4 linked regions of the Drosophila melanogaster genome follow. The protein of the gene in region 4 interacts with the protein of the main gene of each other region in a pairwise test. Each region holds a gene or a part of one and is shown on either strand. Other genes may lie near its edges.

Region 1 (5,764 bases), on a different chromosome or scaffold from region 4:
TCTCACTTGAGTTAACCATCAGCACTTGAGAGCCACCAGCCAGATGTTCCAGTTTCTTCTATTCTTCTAAGCTTTCCGTTCTAACATTCAAATTGTGTGTAACCAAAGTGGTTTCTGGGTTTCGGAAACGAGGGTTAAAACCGTCGTGTTCGTTGCATGTGCAAAGTCAAGGTTGTAGCCAACTTACTAACAACTCAAACTCACTCGATAGAAAGAACACATACACGGCTAGAAAAGAAACAGTAGCTACAAAGCGAATTTTAGCGAATATTTAACTTGTTTTCCAATTTATGTGGATCATTGATATATCTTTAAAAAAACAGCAAATTTATAAAGAGAGTTCTTTGAATATCACAAAATCATAGATGGAAAATGCCTAAAATTGTGGTATTCAATAATTTCCCTTTTTCCCCACTGCATTTGTACCCTTTCTGGCAATCTCAAGACTTTTCTCATTCCGCTGGCAATTGTTTATGGCTCGGCTCCGACTGGCACATAAAAGAAAAACAGAATCATCAAATTTGATTGAGCACTAGCTAGGTGGAGTACAGTAGGCATTCGATTCAATGGATCAGGTGTACTTTTAGATATACATATATTCTAATATTTATTTTTTATATTTCCTTTCTTTTTCGAAATTTAGCCTGCTCATTGAAATGAATTATTAACTTGCTTATTTTTGGCAAGCTAAATTATTGATCAGCTGGCCTTTGCAGCTATTATTTGTGTTTTACTTTTTTTTTTGCTAGCAAAACTATTGATTGAAAAACACAAGAGAGATATATGTTGCTTGTAGTTAACAAATGCGTTTACATTAAGACCGCTGAATAATTGATTTTGAAACTCAGGAGATTCATTGAGTTTTTTTTTCTCATTTAAATCCATAACAAATTGACTTTAAGTGCTGACATTAAGGCAACTGCATTATTGATTTTAAATAACTGGGGATCTCTTTGGACGAATATACACTGTAATAGGCAGATTTATTGCCGACTCACCGGCGCCTTAGAAATTGGAGTGTTTGCAACCTTCGATATATGCAAATTTCGCAGGAGAAAAAAAAAGGGAAAATATTCAAGCGAAGGCAGGCTGACATTGTTATGGGAGCATTTCTGACAGTTTCATTTCCTCTTTCTTTATTTTTTTTTTAATTTCTATGTAGCTTCCTACAACAAAATTCATTTTGTGCAAAACGAAAAGCGGAACGCAAATGTTATTCCTGGATAATCGCGTCATTAGAGGGCATTAAAACTGATTCGACGAAGCGGTGCTAACGAAGAAATGCAAATGTGTTCATTAGTTTCTTCTGTCGTGGGCATATGTGTCGGATACGTGATATAGCCAAATATATCACTCATACGCACTGGTGACAGCGCGTTGTTGATACGCAGTTGCAGTGTTGCAGTGACTACAACCCCTTAAATACTCAAAGATAATGGACAAATATCTGGCAAGTGTATTGCGGATCCATCATGATTATATCCCTAATTTATAGTGCTATAAATTAAATGCTAATTACCTGTAAAGGGGCTGAGGCAGCCCAGCAGGCATAGGGCCAAAATCAGCTGGGCGAGATAGTCAGTTGGCAGCCAAAGCAACGACGTCATTGGTGGCGGCCACGCCCCCAGTCGACCGGCCGCCTTAAGGCGTTGCAAGTACGATTGTTGCTGTTGCTTTTGCTTTTGCTGCTGCATGTTTCGTATTGCTGCTGTTGTTGTTGTTGTGCAGCAGCCTCGTTGACGTCGCCATGTCGTTTGGGGCCCATTGATTGTTATTGCTTTGGTTGCTGCTGCTGTTTTGATTGGTGTTGCTGCCGCTGTTGTTGTTGCTGTTGCTGTTGCTGCTGCTGCTGCTGCCTTTGTCATTGTCAGGCGTTGATTTTGAACTTGGCGGCGGCGATGGCTGTGGGAGCTGCACTTGCAGCAAATGTTGCTGTTGCAGTTGCCTGGCTTACTTCTTATGTTTGCTGTTGCAATTATCCTTTTTGTACTGCTGCTTCTTCTTGGCCTGTCCTTGCACTCTGTGTGCGTGTGTGTTTCGGTGTGTGGAGAAAGGTGATATATTATTGGAAACTTCAATCAATTTCATGTTGTAAAACAGTGTCTTAAATGTACTAGTTACAATTCAGTTTTATATTATTTGAATATGGTTGAAAAAAATATCCAAAACAAAGTGTTTGAATGAATGCAATTCCTTTTAGACTGATTTATTGATAGATCGCATAGTTGGCTGCATTTATTAATTGTGTGCCTCAGAGATTTTTGATTGAATTTAGTTGATTTTGTTCGATATAAAATAAAATACCATGCTCTAGTGTTTACATTATATCAGCAAATTCTGCCCACTGTTCTGTTGGCCAAAAAGTTTCTCTGCATTGTGTCGACAGACAGTTTTTGGCAGCAATTTCACCTCTGCCTCTTTGTGTGTGTGTGTGTGTGTTTTTGCGTTTGATGGTGGGCATTTTGCAGGGGGTGGTTGCAGGGGGCGGCGGATCAGCTGTTCGGCAGTTCCGTGTTTGGCAGCCGAATTGCTTGTTTACAAAGCTTCTTGGGGCATTTTCATTTTCATTTTTTTTTGCCATATTTTTTGGCTCTTTGCGGCTGCCAAAAACAGAAAAGTGCACACACACACACACACCCACATACATCCAGTGCTTAATTCGAATCGTGTAATTTATTATTTGCATGTCCTGTGCGCCAAAAGAGAGCGACAAGTTCGAGTTTCACTTCACGCCGTTTTATGGATTTTCTTACAAACACACACTCATACACACACACACACGCACACACAGGGGCACACGCGTACCCGCATTGATTTTCCCTTTTCTATTTCGTTTTTTTTTTGTTTTTTTTTTTTTGCTATTTTTGCTCTTTTCAAGGCTCTGCTACTTACATCTCACGTAAATTGTTTAACTTTGACACCAACAAAATTTCGCACGCAAGCACTAAAAATACTTGAAAAAAAAAAATGAAGGGAAATGTGAAAACAAAACACAGCACGAATTTCCCAGCCAGCGAGCAGCAGTGGCAAGCAGCTAGCCTACACACCAGCCCACCGCGCCCCCTTCCCACGATTTTCCCATTTTCCGAGTCCTTTTTACAACCGACTGTTTGCTGATTGCTTTTTGCCCACCGTCTTTTGTGTTGCCTTTTGTTGATTTTGTTGATTTTTGCTGCTGCCACTACGCTGCTGCTGCTGCTGCTGCTGCTGCTGCAACTGCAACTGCAAGTGTGACGAACCACTCTCTCACTCCCAGTACGCTCTATGCAATCCGGGCAAGATTCCGATTCCGATTCCGATTCGGATTGCGATTCCGATACCGATTCCGATTCCGGTTCTGATTCCGGCCAGAGCCACCGACTGCAGCGTGGGAGAGTCAAGAGCCAACTGACGGCGCGTCGACGAGGCTGCGCCCCAACAAATGTTGCTGGCGTTGGGCGGTAGCAACATCGGCTCGCCACTATAGCAACATTGACGTTCCAACAGCAACATTTCCGTGGACAACACAACGTGTTGTAAGCTTTTGCTCGATTCGAAAGGGTTCATAGCTTTTGGGAAACATTCTTAGTGTTCTTTCGAACCAGCCAAGAGCTTTTTAGTTCTGAATTAGACACATGATTTGATTCCGGTTTTAAGGAGGGCTTGAGCTTTTGCAAAAGCTTAATAGCGTAGCTCAGAAACACAGCACCGGAAATAACGTTAGCTTTCAAAGAGAAAAAATCCCGCCAAGGATCACATTTAAATTAAATAAAAAAGTGAATCTTATGGCTGACTTATGAGTAATAATTCAACAATACAATTTATGTACATGTAATGAAGAATTTTTTATATAAATGGAATTATTTCAACTATAAATTATAACACTAAAAACTGAAAAATGAAGGGAATTCCGAAATTTAAAAATTATTTTGCAAACTTATAAAGATTAATATTTTCAAAATATTCAGCTTTACTCAGCTCTTTGTCCCAATAAAAGCGTACAGAACATTTTTTAATAAGTAGTTTGGAAATGATTTTATTTCAATATATTTCATATTCATTCATTAGTTCATATTTTCTGTTTTATACTTTTACACAAAAATACTTGTGTGTGTGTGTGTGTGTGAGTGTGTCCGTGTGTTCGTGTTTGTCTCGTAGGTTCTTCTATTGGTATTGGTGTGTCCTTGAGTAGTCCTTTGCTATCTCGGTCTGTCTGTCTCTGTGTGTTTATTTTTTTTCTGTATGTATTGTAGTTGTCTTATATGCCATTAATCTGAGTTGGACATAACTAAGTGTTAAATACAAGTTGAGTTATCTCATTTAAATATTTGTTTACCATTTAAATGCATTTTCGGAAAAGTTTCATTGAATTTCTCGCTTCTTAGCTGATTTATTAGTTGTATACCCATGTTGACTTTTCTGTGTGGGTGACTCAGCGATATTTGATTCATTTATTTAGGGGGTGCCAAGAGCTTTTTACATCTAAATCTTTTTAGGCTTGTATATAGGTGTGTATGTATATATATATATATATATATATATATATATATATAATAACTATTACTTCACATCGAATTTGCTCAGCACTTTGTTTTCCTCATGCTCTTTGGTTTGTTTCCATATATATGTATGTATGTATGTTTGTATGTCTATCTCTTGCATGAACTGTTTAAATTGCCATTGAGTGGTGAGGGATATTATCTGTGGGTGGCGAATTTCTTTTACTTCTTGAATTTAATTTAATTTACACACAAATCTTGCTCTTCTGCTGAGATAATATTTCCCGATCCCTATTACTCGATCATCGTAAAGAATTCAACTACTTTTGGGTTGTGTGTCTTCAGTATTTTGTATTTAAGGTATGTGGCTTGCTGGCGATCTGATCTCTGTTTTTTTTTACTTACAAATTATAACTATTTGTATGTATATATTTATGATTCTAGTTGGTATGTGTGTGTATATATATGTGTATGTATATATCCATTTCTATTCATTGACATAAAATTTGAAAATATACTATATAACTTGTTGATGCCCCTGCAAATGATAGTTTTTGAGGATCTTTTCGGGTTTTCGCTATCTAGCAAGGGTATCTCCAGTACTTCTGCCTTTTTCTCGTTCTTTTCACTTTTAAAAAGTCTTGCAACATGGGAGGTGACCAAAAAAAAAAATAACCGTTCCAGTACACTGAAGAGCAAGCGGCCAGGCTTATATGTATATATAATAGATCTTTTCTTAGTTCATATGTGTGTGTGGGCATTGAAAGAGCATCTAAACTTCGGCCTGCCGAAGAATGCTGTTCAAGGATCTCTCTCTCTTACTTTCTTCTTAAAATTTCGATTAAAGATCTCGATTCGCTTATTTTTGTATATTAAAATTGTAGTCTTCGTATTTTTTGTGTGTGTTTTCTTGGAGTAAAGGCTTTGTCAGTTGTTCAGGAGGGTCACTAGTAATTACACATATATAAGTTGCATTTTTGTTTTGTAGCAGTAACGTTTTTTTTTTTTTTTTACCAAGTTTAGATGGCGGTCAAGGCTTTCAAGGGTTAAGCAGTTCGGTTCGGGTTAATTACGGGTTATCTATCTGGTGCTGGGCGTGGTCCATTATCGGTGGTTGGATGCCTTGCCTGGACATTTGAATATCCGACAGACAGTGTCAATGAGTTCTAAGGTCAAATTATTTCGAAATAATCAAGAAATTTTTTACAATCAAGGCAGAAAGCTGTTCGCATTTGAATCAGATGTACACTTGGTCACATCGTCGATGCGAAAGGTCACACTAAGCT
Region 2 (5,446 bases), on a different chromosome or scaffold from region 4:
ATTGGTAACAGTACGCGGTGTGGAATCCAATTCGATACCAATTGCCCAAAGCTGCGATACTCACCTTCCTTTTGCGTTGCCATCTTGACCCGAATGTGAATGGATTTTTCTGTTTAAAAGCAAAAGTGTGACAACTATGTATACGCAAGCCTTTCGATTCGGATTTCCAACTCGATATACGATTTCTCCAGTCGCTGGATTTTGAGCAACCTCTGCGGCTCTGGCTGTGTAATTACAAAGAGTTGCGGCGCTTTAATCGCACGCGCAGGTCGTCGTCGTCGGATTCACTAACTAGTAGCGCAAACGTAAAACAAAGCGAGTACGGGTACGGAGTCGCGAAGCCTCGGTGGAAGCGGTAGTAGTAATGAAGATAAGCACGATCGTTCCCTGACTGACTGAAGCGCGGCGCGAACCGCCGCAGCAAACAAACGCCCAAGCAAGCACTGCCAATGGCAACAACACCAACACACCAGCAACAACAGCTAAAGCAGCAGACGCTTTGTAACCCCGACTGCGCAGCTGATCGCAGACAGGAGCGGATTCAGTGCGCGCGGGGGCCCATTCGATCTGGATTTACATGTGAATGGAATTGATGGATAACACATAAATATACAAATAATACGATATCATAGTATAACATGGAAATAAAACTGTTTAATCTGAGAGCATTGATCTGATGCGTTGATGAGTTTAATGATGAAATTATGCTAGAATTATGATTCCCACATTACTAAACAACACCCTTACAATTTCTAATCCTACCTAGAATCACGTCGTATTTGGTCAGTGAAAACGAGCAAACGTCAACATTTCTTTTTAGAGTTTAAATCATTTATTATTATTCATTAGTCAGTAGGAATCGATCAGTTCCTTCTGAAGTTAACCTAATGTGTAGCTTAAAAGATATTATGGATTCTGTTCCTTAATTATAGTGTATACAAATGTACCGAGGAGAGATTATGCTATATTACGTGTAAGGAGTTCATGGGGATGTATTCTCTTCAGACATCGGAGGGAAATAGGGTCGACAAGATCATTCGCTAACGTGTTTAAGTGGGCGCTAAGTCTGTCGGCATATCGGCTGCTATGGAAGTTTATTTGGTACCCCAATGGGACACCTTTTAAGTCCCCTTCAATAACTCTATTGCTCACATACCACATGTAGCCCAGATGCATGTCGTGCCGCTCCCGATTGTCTTACTCTAATACTCTGTTCCCCACACTTGGATATGGCTTTTATTAAGAGAGCCTTAGTTGCCATATGGAGTTTGCTTGAGTGGAAAACCCAGTCCAGCTTTTTCAGTTTCCAGGAGCCGTGATAAGGGCTTTCCAACTCAGCGTCCGATCAAGGTGAACTCCGAGGTAGCAGTGGGATGAGACGTAATCAATGGTATTTCCGTCGAAGAGAAGACCTAGGCAGGTTTGAGGTCGCAGGGTAAATGTGACACAGGCCGTCAACAAGAAACCGGCATAAATTGGCGTGCACTTTTATTCCAATCCTTAGTGAACACAACTCCCCTGTTGTTTATTTTCTATTGCAAGCTAGCGCCCGTTGCGGGCCTTTGCCTTTGGTTTAAAACGCACAGCCCCAACCAAGGTCGGTCGGGTTTGCCCTGTCTGAACAATTGGTAAAACTGTGTAAAATTAAAAAACGCGGCCCCTGCCCGCGAGGGCCCAGACCGTTCCGCCCCTGTGTGGCTCTCTGGCGTGCATGCTCATTCACACAATCACGATGCGAGATTTCACTTTATGTGAATCGAATCCGAATCTGAGTCCGAATCGGACTCAAAGCCGGGCGAAGAGAGCGGCAGAGCGGCCGAACGGGAGAACGGGTCGGAGTCAGATGGTCGGCGCCTTCGCCAGCTGAGGGAAGCGAGAGCCTGTGATAAGACCCCCAGTCGACGGGCGAAATTACAAGGAATACGGACACGTACACATACTACTACAGGGGTTTTGGGGGGCAGCCGTGTGGAAATGGTCGTCATTGGTTGTGTGTTATATTCCAATTCATTAGCCAGTTGCTTGCATGTGTGGTGTTGATGTGGATTACGAATCAGGTGTTTGGAGTATGCGAGTGTGTGGGTGCTGGTCGTTGTTGGATGTGCTTTCGCTGCAGCGATGGCCCCTCTCTATTTACAGTATTCTTATATGCTAGGCTACCAATCCGGAACCCAGGATCCGCACGCGCTGCGCGCAATGCCCGACGTCCTATGCTCTGCGATCGCAGCCCCTGGGGTACAAGATCGAGTGACTCGGCTGGAGCGCGTCGGGGCTACGGGAGTCTGGTGTTGGTGCTGGAGCTGGACACGAACTGTTAGCAGACGTCGGTCGTCAGTAGAAGAGCACCGAGTGCAGGATGACCCGCTTGCGGCGCTCCTCGAACTCCTGGATCAATTCGTCGATGTCGTTGTCCAGGTCCGTGGACTTGGCCATCTGCAAAGGCACAAGAATCGTTGGGCGAATTGAGGGAATGGACGACAGATGATCATACCATGTTTATCATGTCTGTGATGACAAAGGCGCCCATTAGCGCATCTTCAGCGTTGTCCACCACATCCACGTTGAGAACGTGCACGGGTCGGTTGTCCACGGATTCCATGGACTCCATGTGCATCACCACCAGGTCGTAGACGCGCTCTTCCACAGTGACGATGATGTCGAACTGCTCTTTGGTGTCCTGAAACCGTTCCGGGCACTTCTTTATGCGACGATTGCGGTCGAGCATGTGTAGCAGGCCGTTCTGTGTGTAGCTGTAAACAGGACGAAAGGGCAGGGATTAGCCAACGGTAGGCCGGAAAAACGAATAACTCACAACTCCTTGTCCTTGGACTCCAGGTCGCGGTAGATGTCCTCGTATTTGGTGCCAAACTCGTAAACATTCGGCTTGTCGAACGCCATGCCCGGTAGCTTGACGCGCTCGCCGGTGCCGTAGGAGCGCACATTGAAACCCTTCTTGGCCAGAAAGTTGTGCGCCTCCATTGAGCGATTCATGTTCGAGGAACAGACTACGGCGACGGCGAGCTTGCTAGGATCAGTCATGTCTCTTTCTCTTTGGCAGTGCGTTGCAATCGCAGTCGTCGAAAAATATGTTCATCAAATTGGAGATGGGATGGCAAAACCACGAGCACGAATATCGATACGATATATTCACGAACATACATTTAACGTGTTAATCTGAAAACACGCGATTTAAAAAATTCTGCAGTGTTTAATTGAACACGTTGACTTCACGTTCAAAATATTCAAAAAACCTAAAAAAAATATACGTTATAACAACTGATAATTAGTACGGAATATTTAAAACTAATTATGTAAAAGCCTCGAGTTTTTGAAACATTTTTGGCCAAACAAATACATAACATACATAGCTACTTAACATAATTAAAGTTCGAGGAGTCCTGCAGCATTAAATATGATCAAACTAACAGCTGGCAATTACCTATCGTAATGTCTTAAAACGTATTTATAATCCTGCAACTTGTATAAAATGAAATATCTCATACTACCCTTAGCATAAAAAAGGGCTCCCCCTGGTTAATATCAATGTTATATCGAATAATTCCAATTTATTAAATCTATTTTAAATTCGAAATATTTTTCTGGACTCCAGCTCCACTACTATTGACACTTTCAACTAGTTATATCGATTTCTTGCCGCCAGTTTACGAACTTTTCAACACTGTCGACCAGTTCGACGCAGTCTGGCAGCGTTGGCGGTCAATTCTTATTTTTGAATCCAACCGAAGTGAATTTGGATACGAAAAGCGCCAAAACTGAGTTAATCTAACTATAAGTGAATTTTGTTACTAAAGCGCGAATTTGAACTTGAATTGAAAGCGGCTTGCAACACCCAATGGCGAATTTCGCCGTCCCAAGCGCATAGGCAACCGCAGTAGTAACCGACAACAACCTTTCAGTTTGGAGCTCGTGGAATGCGGCTGAGCAACTTGGAGCCGTTGCCTCCATTCTTTACCTGTGTGTGGAGTGAGGCAGGAGGACTAGAAGCACCATCGCCACCAGCGGCACCACAACCAGCAGCAGCAGCAGCCGCCGCATCGCGTGTGTTGTGAGTTAAGCAGGTTTGCGGCACAGTGGGTCGCATTGCTTGGCACTTGCGACAATATCAAAACAACCGTTTCTCCCCTTTCCAAACAATTAACAGATTGAAAAGCGTCTAAACTTCTTTTCACCTTTTGCTAACAAAAACCTATTTCAAAAAATATTCCCATTGAACCCAATGCCACGTCATTCTTGCTTGATAATTTAAAATAACCTTTATTTGTTTATTTTATATTAAACCGTAATTGTAGCGTCTTTGGGCCAAAAACATTTTAAAGTAAGCTTATTGTATATCATTTTATATTATACTTTGACAAAAGTGACACAACACAATTCATATACGTTTTGGATATCATTATACGGGAATAACATTGGGACAAATCTTGTAGAAAAAACAAAAAATATTTGTGCTAAAAAGCTACCATTTTGGCCATGATGTTCCACTGTGCAAAGCGGCGTTTGGAGCTGGAATTGATATTGGAATTGGCTCGTTCCACTGCTCACCTGTCCGTGTGAGCAGCGTGTGCATGAGTGGGTGAGGTGAGAGGAAGAGACAGAGACACACAGCGAGAGCGAGAGAGAGAGGGAGAGAGGACCCAACTGGTTGGTCGAATAGCTGCCGGCAGTACCGAAGTTCCTGAGATCCAATATTAGTCGTACTTTGTCACTCGATCGGTCAGGGCGTCGTTGTAGCCTTCGTTGTCGTCCACTTGCCGCCAAATCGGAACGCCTGCTGGCGGTGCTTGGTTATTGGGATTGGGATTGGACATCGCGTTCGGTGCGGGTGAGGGAGGGGAGCAGGCGGCGGAGGAAATAGCTCCCGCGGCATTTGCCACCGCGCTATATCGATCCGCCAATTAGGGAGTGGAATCCGGCGCTTTCTTCGCTGGACAACGACCATGTAAAGGTCACAGGTCAAGAACGGAAACTGTAGTACCAAAAAAGAAGAAGTCGGAGGTAAACCCGTTTTACAACCTGCCAATTGCAATTTGTCTTGGGTTCTTTTAGTTTTTACTTACATATGTACGAAACCAGGTGTTTTTCGTTATTTTTACACCACACCACCAGTCGCAAGATATTGCATGAAAATGCATTAAATGCAAGGCAAAAGTAGTTAATTCATTATCGGTTCTTAATGTGGACTATCTACGTACATAATTACACTCAACGTTCCATTTTTTTTTTTTTTTTTTGGGACAAAACGGGTCTTTAAAGCAGTTACATTCGTTTAAAAATAGTTTTGAATACCTTGAAGAAGTCGTCTCCGCTTTGATGACACCTTTAAGTGCATTTTCTTGGGGCTATGGAAAACTGTTTGCTCAGCTCAAAAAGCTTTTCCGAGTAACAACCAGGTTTCCGAGGAACCAGCCATGAACCATGGGAACCT
Region 3 (5,326 bases), on a different chromosome or scaffold from region 4:
TGAATTCCCTTTTTTTTCTTCCGAGACACATTTTACTTACCTCATTTACTTAGGTTCGCAACTTAGTCAACTTTGTGCGAAAAAGGGATCCCAGAGTGCAGGCCTACAGGCGCATGCTTGAGGAACGCGTCGAGGCCAATCGACTTAAGCAGGAGGAGAAGCGCAAAGAGCAGTTAAGGAAGCGCCAGGAAGAACTGGCAGCCGTCAGGAAAAATAATGTCTTTAACGAGGGCTACGAGGAGCAGCTAAAGCAGTTAGAGCAGCAGTACGATAGCAAGTCAGAAGATTACACGGATGAAGACGAGAACGACGACGATGGCGAGGACTTTGACCATGAAGGCGGCCAGGAAGCCGAGGAGTACGAAGTGGAGTATGTAGACGATCTTTACTGCGTGGCATGCAACAAGACATTTAAAAACGCCAAGGCGCGTGCTAATCACGAAGAAAGCAAGAAGCATAATGAAAATGTCGACCGGCTGTGTCAGGAAATGGAGGAAGAAGAGGACGCTTTCCACAATGAACCCCATGAAGACAGTTTAATGGGCGTACAGGAATCGCTGGAAGAATTGCAAGTCTCTGAGGATCAGATATCTTTCGACGGGGTTCCAAGCGAAGAAGAATCTTCGCTAGCCAAACGAACCAAAAAAAACAAAAAGGCAAGGAAGTCAGCTGTCAAGCAAGCGCAGGCGGAAGGCAGTGACGAACCAGATGAGCCAATAGAAAAGAAGGCAATCAAGAGCGAGTCAGAGGATGAAGACTGGAGTAAAGGCAAAAAAGCGAGCAAAAAGAGTAAAAGCAAAAAGACGACGACTAGGAAGGTTAAGCTATTAGAGCAAACTGTTTCGGAACCGAATACAAAGGAGGCAACAGTGGCTCCCAAAAGCGGAGATGAGGACCTCGACCCGACCAAGTCGCAACACACTTGTGTTACCTGTAGGCTTGTCTTTGACTCCAAGAACAAGCTGTTTGCCCACCTAAAGAAGACGAACCATGGTGTCTACATACCTAAGGCAAAGCCTAATGTTGAGGGCAAGCCTCCTGGCAAAGCTAAGGGCAAGCGCAACAAGTAGGGTCGTATAGATATCCACCCACACCTTGTATCTATACTGTAGAATGTTAAAAGTTTATTTATGCTAATGATAAATTTAATTCGAGAATGAAGTTAAGTATGCTCGCTCCAAGTCAGATAGTGTTCTTATTGTATTCAAAGGCAGCTACGGAATACAGACCAGTTTACTGCCCGCCTCCACGCGTCTGCGAACTCGAGTTCGCATATTGGAAGACTCTGCCTTTAGGCTTATACCGGCGGCAGTAAATGTTAGGAGTACCCCAATGATTCCGCAGTAGAATGAAACTCCTGTAAGGATTAAGTTTAGTAAGTTTCTAAGAAAAGTTTCAAAGAATTACCTATGCTACAGTCGGCGGGGTAAAAGGGTTCGGCATCCATGCCGCATAGACGTTGAATCCGGTTCGCTCGCCATCCCATCGGATGCAGAAATAGACCCAACATCATACATATTCCTATAAACAATGCAAACTTAAATGCTGCGAGGATATCACAGTAATGGTTGCTTACCTGCTACGACCTGGGCGCAGGCCGTCATGTTGTGTATGCTCTTGCCACAGGCCGACTGGCGGCAGCAGGTGATCAGGGTCAGGATCACCGTTACAGAGAGTAGACTAAATCCCAGCATGACGAAGAACATTGCCGCTTTCCATTCGTTGGGGTAAACGCTACTGTCCGTGGCCAGTCCGTCCAAGTCGAAGCGGCCGCATTGGAATCCGCCCTCCTGCATGACCTTGCAGCGCGTGTAGATGCCCACCGAGGATTGGTGGTGAGAGCTGGCGGTGGAGTCTGTTCCTTGGGCGGGGCCCACCAGCCACCTGGGCGTGACCAGGGCCACAGCAAAGAGCATGTCGGCCACCAGCGAACAGAGGAACCACACCAGACTGGCGATGGTGATAATAACGTAGCACATTTTGATGCACCAGATTTTTCGGAGTACACAGATTTAGCGATCGACGACGGGCGATCGCAACGCGTCAGCACTTGCCGGATAGATAATAGACTCTAAGCGCTCTTACTTTGTCTGGGCACGCACATCCCACACCCACTTTGCCGTCACCCACCACCACCGTCGCACCACTCGCCACCACCAGCAGCGCGGGGCCAGACCAGAACTTCCTCCCAGCTGACCAGCCCGAAATGGAATTGTTTATTTTATGTTTTCGCCGCTCGCTGTTATGCGGTGCCTTTCTGCCGTCTGTTTTATGTTATTCACCCCACACTCACACGCGAGCGGAGGTTGACTGTGGGATAGGGGGAGCACGAGGGCGAGGGCGAGGCGGTAGACCGCGCAGTCCGCGGCTCTGTCAAGAACAAAATTCGCAGCTGACGTCGAAGCGAAGGGAAATAGAGTCTAGCGGGAAAATAACTCTGCCTCGATGGCGTTTTCGCTAATCCCCCAAGCGGCTGCAGCTATTTGGCAACTTTATTCCACACTCTGGAACTTTGGATCTGAGCTTCTGTTCGCGCAGGCGTGTCTGCTGCCGTTCCTCGCCAGCGTCATCTCTCGCCGACTCCGACCGACCGAATGAATGGAGCCCATTAAAGCCAGCTGCAGTCGCAAACGGAGCCAGGCCCCAATCGGAGCACTGGAAGAAAAGGTTTGGTGCATCAAATCGTAATAATCGAGTTCTAAGTTGGTTTATGCGTTACGTATTTATCGTATAAATTTAAATCAGCCGGAAGAATTTAAGAAACTGAATGACTATGTTTGGTAAGAATGTTTACTTAGAGGAAATAATTAATATAAAATATTGTAATTTAATGAGGAATTTTTTTCGAATGTATTTTGTATATTTTTAAATGTTGATGTTTTCAGTGCCTTATGCAGATGTGGGCGCCGATTTCTCATTGAGAGCGTGGAAATCCAGACATTCCGAATTCAGAATCAGTCCTCGAATAGCTCTCCCTGGCTCTCTGCACACGCGTTCGAGTTGGATCCAATCTGTCGACTCCACCACCACCAACCCCACCATTGCCTCCACCCCCGTTCGGGTGAGTAATGCACGCCGCCGCTTCGATTCGGGCTGATCATGTGCAATTCCGATCGAAACGATCTTCGGTCGAGCGGTTATCAGTTGGCCGAGTGTGTTGGGGGCCATTGCGTCATCCGCACTGTGTTTGTGCACAGTGATCGTGACCGAGGCCGTAATGAGATCCGTACACAAAGTGCGCAGCCTCCGGAAAGCACTTTCACTCTCCCTTTCGTTGCCTGAACCAATCCGCGGCTCATCACTTGCCATTAGCCGAGATGTCGCGCCGGATGGTCTTCCTACAGTTGCTGCTGTGGGCAGTAGTAGAGGGTCACTATTACTACGACTACGGCTACTGGGAGATCAACGAGCCTTCACAGCTTTGCTCCGACTACGAAATGCTGGTGGTCAACACCCGCCAGTGCGTAAGGCGCTGCAACATCGTCTGCCTGAATGGAGTGTGCTTCGAGGACGGATCCTGTCCCTGTGCCGATCAGTATATGGCGGGTAATCCGGATGGTTTGGTGTGTGCCGCAGAGTGCCTCCCCGGGTGCGTGGCGGCAGGTGGCTACTGCGCCGCACCAGATCTCTGTGTGTGCCGTGAGGACAGGCACTACTACTTTGATCCCCTCTCCCAAAAGTGCCGCCACAGGGCTCCCCGTCTGCTGGACCCCTGCCTTGGGTGAGTATGATTCTTGCTCCTCACCTTATCGCTTAGGAAGTGTACATACATACGTATGCGTTTATGTGCCCTTTCTCATTTCCAGGCGCTGCACACATGGCAACTGCTCCTCCGACGGACGGTGCATCTGTGCCCAGGGATACGAGCTAAGGGACAGCCTGCTTCATGGACAGCAATGCATGCCAATCTGTGATCAGTAAGTTTGATTGTCGCTATATCTTTTCGCCACACTTGCCCTAAACTGTACCTCCAGCAACTGCGGACCACGAGCTTACTGCTTCGCTCCTAACTTGTGTGCCTGCCGGCACAAACAGCACCATTATGCTCACAACGGCATCTGCTCCGGGAACTATTGACCTAGAGAGGAGGTTTGACAGCAATGGGGCTGTTTTAGGTCCCGCTGATGTCGTATGGATTTTAATATATGTATTTATTGTTTAGGTTCATGATTATTTATGAATTAAGCTACAAGACTATGTTACTCTTTTTATTGATTTAAAATTTTTATGGAAAGGCAATCTTGTCTTTAGAAACTGTAAGGAATAACATAAAATATAAAAACAGCTTTAATCGCCTCATAAAGTAACCTATAATTTGTCCATATTAAAATACCAACTTCAAAAACGCATTATGCATATGTATTATATCGATTTATCTAACCTGAGGAAATATGAGAAGCACTAACTTTATTGAGTGCTTACCCTTTCATAATGAATGGGCAACAATATACAATATGTAGTTACGCTTGATAGTTCGTATTGAGTCCGAAAACTAAAATGCCTTACCTTTCGCAGGGCACAATTCAGAGAGCGCAGTGAGATTTTGATTTTAAAGAGCGCATGTCAACTGGTTTGGTTTTGGTGTTGTTGTTGCCGCACCCCCTCCCCCACCTATCAACCAATCAATTACAAAGAGACTTTGTTATTGTTTATAACAAATCGGACACATGGAAGTGCAGAATATTACAATATACAGTATACGATTTCCGATCCCCACCGATCAGCAGAGAAACTGAAGAAGACATGCGTACGTGTTCTCCAGAGGCGTCGCCAGCGAACTAAAATGCTGCTAGGGGGGGGTATCATAGAGGGAGCGTGGATCTCAAGAGGGACTTCTGTGCTCAGATGTTATTAGGCCATTGATAATGCCCGAATTTTAGAGTGTTTGTGCTTGCGGGGCCTATAATATTTCGGGTATTTCAACTAACCCACACCCCCCCCCAGAGGATATTTCTTAGATAAAGACCAGTCGGCAGAACCGTCATTTTTAGCTTTGCGCGTGTGGCGTGTTATTGTTTTACTTGTTGTTGTTCCACTAGAGGCGGGCCTCTTGGTCTTGACGACAAGGCACACTGGGCAGAGTCAGTAAACAGGGCAAATAATATTTTCTTCCTTTTTCCAATTTTGATGAAATTGGATATATACCATAATTATTATTTAAGAATTGCTTTTCCACGTAGTGTCGACTAATACTTTCATATGCAATATATTTATATAAGTTGAACCAATAACACGTTGTGACTTTGCTCCACTGTGCCAGAAGCAATAACAACAACAACAGTGGCAGGCGGCAGCACCGTGTCCGCCGACGTTGTTCTCCATCACG
Region 4 (5,965 bases):
TTTTTGCAGCACTCTAAATCGAAAACCAGAACCTTTTTGGTCTTCTGTATTTCGGGGTTCTCCAGCACATATTGCCGTAGTGCGTTAAGCACCACGCAGACGGTTACGTGGTCATCGTAAACCAATCCCTTGGCCAGCACACCAATTAGTTGCCCTCGATCCAGGATGTTCCGGATAAGTAGAGTATTGCCCTCGACCAGGAAGGCCAAAATAAAGAGAATAAACGCTTTGCGCACTGTATCCTCGCATTGGTATTCACTTTTTTCATGGGACAGCAATTTCTGCGTCACAGTCACGTTGGAAAGCACATCATACGAATTCAGAACTTGGCGGGCCAATTGAGGCTCCACGCACACAATAGCGGTGAGCAGTTTTAGGGCATTACGCCGATGGCCTAGCTGCATTGATTTCATTTGATTTTCGAGCACTCCTCCGTGAACCTTGAGAAAATATCTACACCCGTGGACAGCCGACTCCATGTGGCTCTTCTGGTTGGTAAGTATTTCCATCAAAACTCGGTGCAAAGCCTCTGTGAGGTAGTCCACGTGAAATAAATTAGTCTTATCGATCCTTTCGAATGCTTCTGCTAACTCCAAGGGCTTTCCACGCTTTTCTATGTACTTAGCCGCAAGCTTAGGACGCGTGGTTGAGCACATGTGCAGGAAGTGTCGCAGTTCTGGAATTGGGATTCGTGAGTTAGCGATCTTTTATTGAACGTATTAACCCACCTGTTATGAAGTTATTGCCGCGAAGCTTGGTTCGAAAGTGCATCATCTTAAAGTCGTTGGGAAAGTGTATGCGGGATTCTTCGGGATCAATCCCGGAATCGCGACTTATTTCATCCTCAGCCATCTCCACTTCCACCTGTTGTTCTACACTTGTGTCGGATGTCTTTGTCTTTTTAGACTTCTTCTTTGATGGAGTGGAGTCAGCAGGATCGGTTTCAGTGCTTTCCAGCGTGGATTCATCGAATGATTCCTTAGTTTTATCCTTCTTTTTCTTTTTCTTCGGTGTGTCGGACTCCTTGGCCAGTTTTTTGGGCACCTCCACTTCACCTTCATCCTCTTGCTCAGCAGTTGTCTCCTCGTGCCTTCTCTTTCTTCGATTGGGTTGAATGGCCATTTTGCTTTAATAATAATATTATAAATTATATTTGCCTATTTACAGCATAAATCGTTTAAAATTTAAGTTAAACACAAAAACAGCCGCACACACGTGCTGGCAGAGAATGGTATGACCCTTTTTAAAATACCGAAAAATACCGCCCTTGTTTCAGTGTTGTATAGGGCGACACTTGGCGCGCTAAAATATAAACTGGCGAAACAGGAAAAAAAACAGAACAGCAACTTATTCAAAGAGATTAAAGTTATGATTTAATTTACCAACAATTTTATACTCTCCAACAATAAACAACGTATTTTACTACAATACTAACTACAAAGGGTGCACAACTTTGAAAAAACCACATCTCGGCACGGAATGACTCATAATCCAATCTGCCATTTGGCAAATTTACAGTTTTCCCTGGACGTGAACGTTTTTTCTGTTCCTTTAACCACGTCTAGTCATCCTCGAGGGCCGCATTGGTGGCTCCTCCAGATCCATATCCAGATCCTGCAGGAGCCGTGCTAGTCACCGATCCAGAAATCGGGAATTCTGGCAGAGTGGAGCGTTGTTTGGCTGGAGCCGGCGGAACCGCGGGCAAATCGACTGATTTACTTTTGCCTGCAAGTACACAACTATTATTAGTCGCTGTTATTGCCTTCTGAAGATAGCTGCAAATCACTTACCAAAACAACAACCCATTATGGTATACTCTTTACTGATTCTCGGGACGAGTGGGCTAATTTGCTGAAAGTTCTTTGAGCACTAAATCGGGCAAATCAAATCGGTGGCCAATTGACTGGGTGCGTATGTGTGCACCTGAGGCGTACAAACGACTCATGGCTAATTGATAAGCCCTGCTGTTACTTTTATTCTCTTTTTGTTTAAAATGTAAAGTGGGTTATTTATGACACCATGGGTAGGTCTGCTATCAACAGTGTAGTTCCCCATCGGCCGTATTAGCATCGTGCAAAGAACCGTAGAACTGTGATAAAAGCGGACAATGCCGGTCGGATATAACCGCAACGAAGCGACCAACAAACCAATTGCGATAAGCTCTTATCAGGGGAAAACGTTTTCAATGCTCTCTAATTGGCGCTAAATATTCAATTGTCGTTATGATATCGTTTATCGAAAAGGCTATCGATTGAAAATTCCGCTCTTGTGGGCCAGATTTCAAAAACGCTTAGAAGCATTTGACAATTCAAGCAATTTACGTAGTAATTGCGAACATTTTTAACAAATTAGTAGTTAACATACATTTTACAAAAATATATATTTGCAGGATTTATAATCTCTTTAGAATTATTATTTCTGTATAAAATCCCAGAATTTCATTCCTCTCTAACGTTTTTCTTTGTGATAACAGTTTTGATTGTTAATCAAATTTTTATAGCTGGAATTAAAGTTCAGCAAACATTTTCGTTTGTTTACCAGTGGCCAGTGAGACCGTTCGCTGTGGCGCCTAAAAAACCAACATTTCACTGTTCCTCAAAGTGCGGGGGGGTGGTGCGTTCATTATCAGCCGGAACGTAAACAGCGTCGCTGCTTTTCACGCTTTCCGATAAAAATGTTTAAATCACACTGTGTTAATTAGAGCCCAAATCAAAATCAATGCGCCCGTGGACGCGAACGACTCGAGATCGTGTGCGCGTGAATGCGGATCGAGTAGTTGGTAGCTAGTTTATCAAATTCGAACCCTTGATATAATAAAAATAAAGGTGCGCGAGAATACGTGAATTGCGATTTTTGGCCCGTGAACGAATCACGAGCAAAGCGGATAAACAAAAGCCATAAAAAACAGATTCGCACGAGAATCATCGCAAAAGTCTGTGCGCATAAATTACGCTCCCCAATTGGAATTGGAAAAGTCTGGTTTTCGGCGAGCATCCGCATCCGCGATGGACGACGAGTTTAAGCTGTGCTGGAAGAACTTCCAGGACAACATAGCCAGCGGCTTCCAGAATTTGTACGACCGCGGCGACCTGGTGGACGTGACCCTCGCCTGCGATGGAAAGCTCCTCCATGCCCACAAGATAGTGCTGGCTATCTGCAGCCCCTACTTCCAGGAGATATTCACTACCAATCCCTGCAAGCATCCCATCAGTGAGTACACCGATTAGGCAGCACAAGATTGCGGCCCCATCGCCGGCGTCCCCGGTTTAAATGCTAAGTTATGCAGCGTGGCTTACATTGTCAGCGCGGCATTTATATGTGTATTTTGATACTGGGCACGGAAGTGGTCTTCCAGAAATTGGTCAAGTTTAATGTTCCGAGCTTTCGTTGCCATGCATATGGATGATCCTAATGGAACATTGAGTGCGTAACTGAAGGATTCGGGTTTCTTACAAATTGCTTGGCTCTTGGCATTGCAAATACATTGTAGACATATTTTCTTGGAATTTTAATAAGCCGGAAAAGAGTCTGACTATTCGCTGGGCTATTTCATACCCTTCACATACATACATAGTCTGTATAATGCCAGGGAAGAGTGACTGCTGGTTACTTGGTCAAGCATATTCCCCCAGAAATCGGTCAGTTTATCACTGGGACAGCGGTGTCAGTTTATCGAGGAGCCCGCCCGTCAGCCTGTCTGTTCATCACTCTTGTCAAACGCTTAGATATAAATCAACCTTTGTGTTAAATTCCATGACACATTCGGTGGTTATCAGCCCAGCTCCACCGCCAGTTCGATTCCGAGTTCCAGACGAGCGTCCCAGCACGACTACGTCTGTCTTTACAGTATCGCTACCATAAATCCAACTATACCCGCCCTATTAACTTTACACTTTATTTCATAAGCCTAACTTGCCTTTTTTTTAGCATACAAAGTAATCAATCGAATAATATTGTTAGTCGTTTGATGGATCGCCCATTAAAATTAAGTAGTGCAGCGATATTAGGAAGATTATAAATCGTTTATGCAAATGCATTAAGGTTTATCCAGCCTACAGTTATCTAAAGACTTTGTAATGAACTGTAATCATTTGATAACCGATTTGATTTACTAATCCAATTCAGGGTAATATAATCCAATTCGTAATATCTGTCCGTTTCTGATTCATGTTCCAGTTAGTGAAGTTTGACTGTAGAGTCGTAAATCTAAAGACAAACAGCAGCAACCCACTAAGAATCGAGGTCTGGTGATAATCCTCCGGTGAGCCGGAGTGCCGCCGCGTTGTCTATGCCTGTGTGGTAGCTGCCGGAGTCCTCCGCCTCCGGAGGCACACCGGGATTGTTTACCCACGCCACGCACGGAGTATCCACCGGCGGAGGGAGTATCGTGATAAGGTCCATGGCAAGAGAGCGCAGAGTCGGAGCCGCAGCCCACTTCGATCGGATCGGGGAGATTGGGTGCGTTGCTGACCTCATCAAATGTACTTCAAATGGACTCTAGAACGGTGGTGTACTACTATTTATGTACGCTATATGGTGTATGGATATGATATCGCCGCGGCCCCTCCTGGTCGGTACGATTCCGATTTCGTTCGCAGTCGTGTTGAACACGGCTGCCTGCTGCACGGTGGCTTTATCTGATCAGGCGGCCATAAAAAATAAGGTTTTATCTTTTCAAGTAGCTGCAGGAAGGTGCTACCTACCCACAAACGCTGCTACAAGAGGTATTTCCAAAGATAAAGAATATTAATATACCCTATAAATAACGGCGAACCCAAGCGGGGGCAAGCTATTAAATGTAGACCAGCCCAGCCAACAACAGTCATCGAGGTGCTAACAAGCCAAATGGCTATGTGTTTGTTCCGTGTGTAACACGCAGAAACAACAACAATAGTCGAAATATTTTTTATCTTTTTATCGCGTTTAACAATCATTTATTGCCCAACTGAGTAACTGAGTGCCCGCCCGCCCACTCCTTCACCCTTACAGCCACTCGAAGAATTTAGTTTAGTCGAGATATTGATTAGAGAGCCTCGCAACATATATACGTGTTTCCGCTGCTCCGGACGTGTAAATCAATCCACACTGTGCCGTTCCAAGTGGTTATATCTGGCCAACAGTCACAGTCCCCAATACAATGCTAATCCTCCAAAATTATCTATTTATTATTGGCATAAACAAGACGGACATAGCTCAAAGAAGCTGGGGTCGGAAAAATCGAATTTTTGAAATTTGAAAGCTGGAATCGTTTGCCCATTTTTTGCCCATGTTTGCCCACCAATTAGTTTTTTTTGCCCACGTCCAGTTTTTGAGATATGAATTTTCGAAAAAGTTCGAAAATTTTCGAAAATCAAAAATTTCGCTTTTTTCAAAATTTTTTTTTTTTAAATCGCAATAACATCGTTTGCCCACGTTTGCCCACCCTTTAGAATTTTGAAAAAATGTATACTTTAGAAAATATAAGGCTTTTAAGTTTACCTCGGTCTAATCAGAGAGTAAATCGTTTGCCCATCTCTTAAAACCAAATATTATCAACAAAAAACGTTTGCCCAACAATTATTATTAGTTTTTATCGTTTGCCCACCCTTTAAAAAACCTTTAACAAAAATTTTTTTTCGATTGCCCACATTTAAAATACAACCAATTTCCTTAGCCAACCTCTTTAAAATAAAAATTTCCAATAAAAAAAGTTTGCCCACCATTTAAAACTAAATAATTTCGATTGCCCACCTTTTAAAACTAAATAATTTCGTTTGCCCATCCTTTAAAATTCATTTTTAACGTTTGCCCACCCTTTAAAAATAAATTATTTCGTTTGCCCACCCTTTAAAATTTGTTTTTTTCGTTTGCCCACCTCTTAAAAATGGTTTTTTCGATTTTTCACCTATTAAAAATAAATTTGTACATATGTATGTAATAATTGTAAGATGTGGCGTCAAAAGCACAGTTACTTACAAAAGAACAG

Evidence for each region.
Region 1: the proteins of CG34376 (region 4) and CG32647 interact in a two-hybrid assay, tested with the Drosophila melanogaster proteins (one large-scale study listed by BioGRID).
Region 2: the proteins of CG34376 (region 4) and Ssu72 interact in a two-hybrid assay, tested with the Drosophila melanogaster proteins (one large-scale study listed by BioGRID).
Region 3: the proteins of CG34376 (region 4) and CG15861 interact in a two-hybrid assay, tested with the Drosophila melanogaster proteins (one large-scale study listed by BioGRID).

The regions. Positions count from the first base shown.
Region 1 is NC_004354.4:12,781,570-12,787,333, forward strand, and holds the start of CG32647 (uncharacterized protein), read right to left. Parts: upstream 3,390-5,764; 5' UTR 3,133-3,389; intron 2,954-3,132; exon of another isoform or gene 2,893-2,953; intron 2,021-2,892; 5' UTR 1,866-2,020; coding exon 1,520-1,865; intron 1-1,519.
Region 2 is NC_004354.4:19,662,239-19,667,684, reverse strand, and holds Ssu72 (Ssu72 CTD phosphatase), read right to left. Parts: upstream 3,125-5,446; 5' UTR 3,040-3,124; coding exon 2,813-3,039; intron 2,751-2,812; coding exon 2,492-2,750; intron 2,434-2,491; coding exon 2,332-2,433; 3' UTR 819-2,331; downstream 1-818. Other genes in the region: Zw (zwischenferment), read right to left, coding at 65-83.
Region 3 is NT_033778.4:24,942,414-24,947,739, reverse strand, and holds CG15861 (uncharacterized protein), read left to right. Parts: upstream 1-2,538; 5' UTR 2,539-2,780; intron 2,781-2,885; 5' UTR 2,886-3,317; coding exon 3,318-3,721; intron 3,722-3,806; coding exon 3,807-3,917; intron 3,918-3,974; coding exon 3,975-4,077; 3' UTR 4,078-4,348; downstream 4,349-5,326. Other genes in the region: CG2790 (uncharacterized protein), read left to right, coding at 54-1,070; CG3770 (uncharacterized protein), read right to left, coding at 1,215-1,357, 1,408-1,521, 1,577-1,979.
Region 4 is NT_033777.3:22,445,411-22,451,375, forward strand, and holds the start of CG34376 (uncharacterized protein), read left to right. Parts: upstream 1-2,688; 5' UTR 2,689-3,005; coding exon 3,006-3,210; intron 3,211-5,965. Other genes in the region: CG12499 (uncharacterized protein), read right to left, coding at 1-676, 729-1,122; CG34288 (uncharacterized protein), read right to left, coding at 1,562-1,725, 1,791-1,806.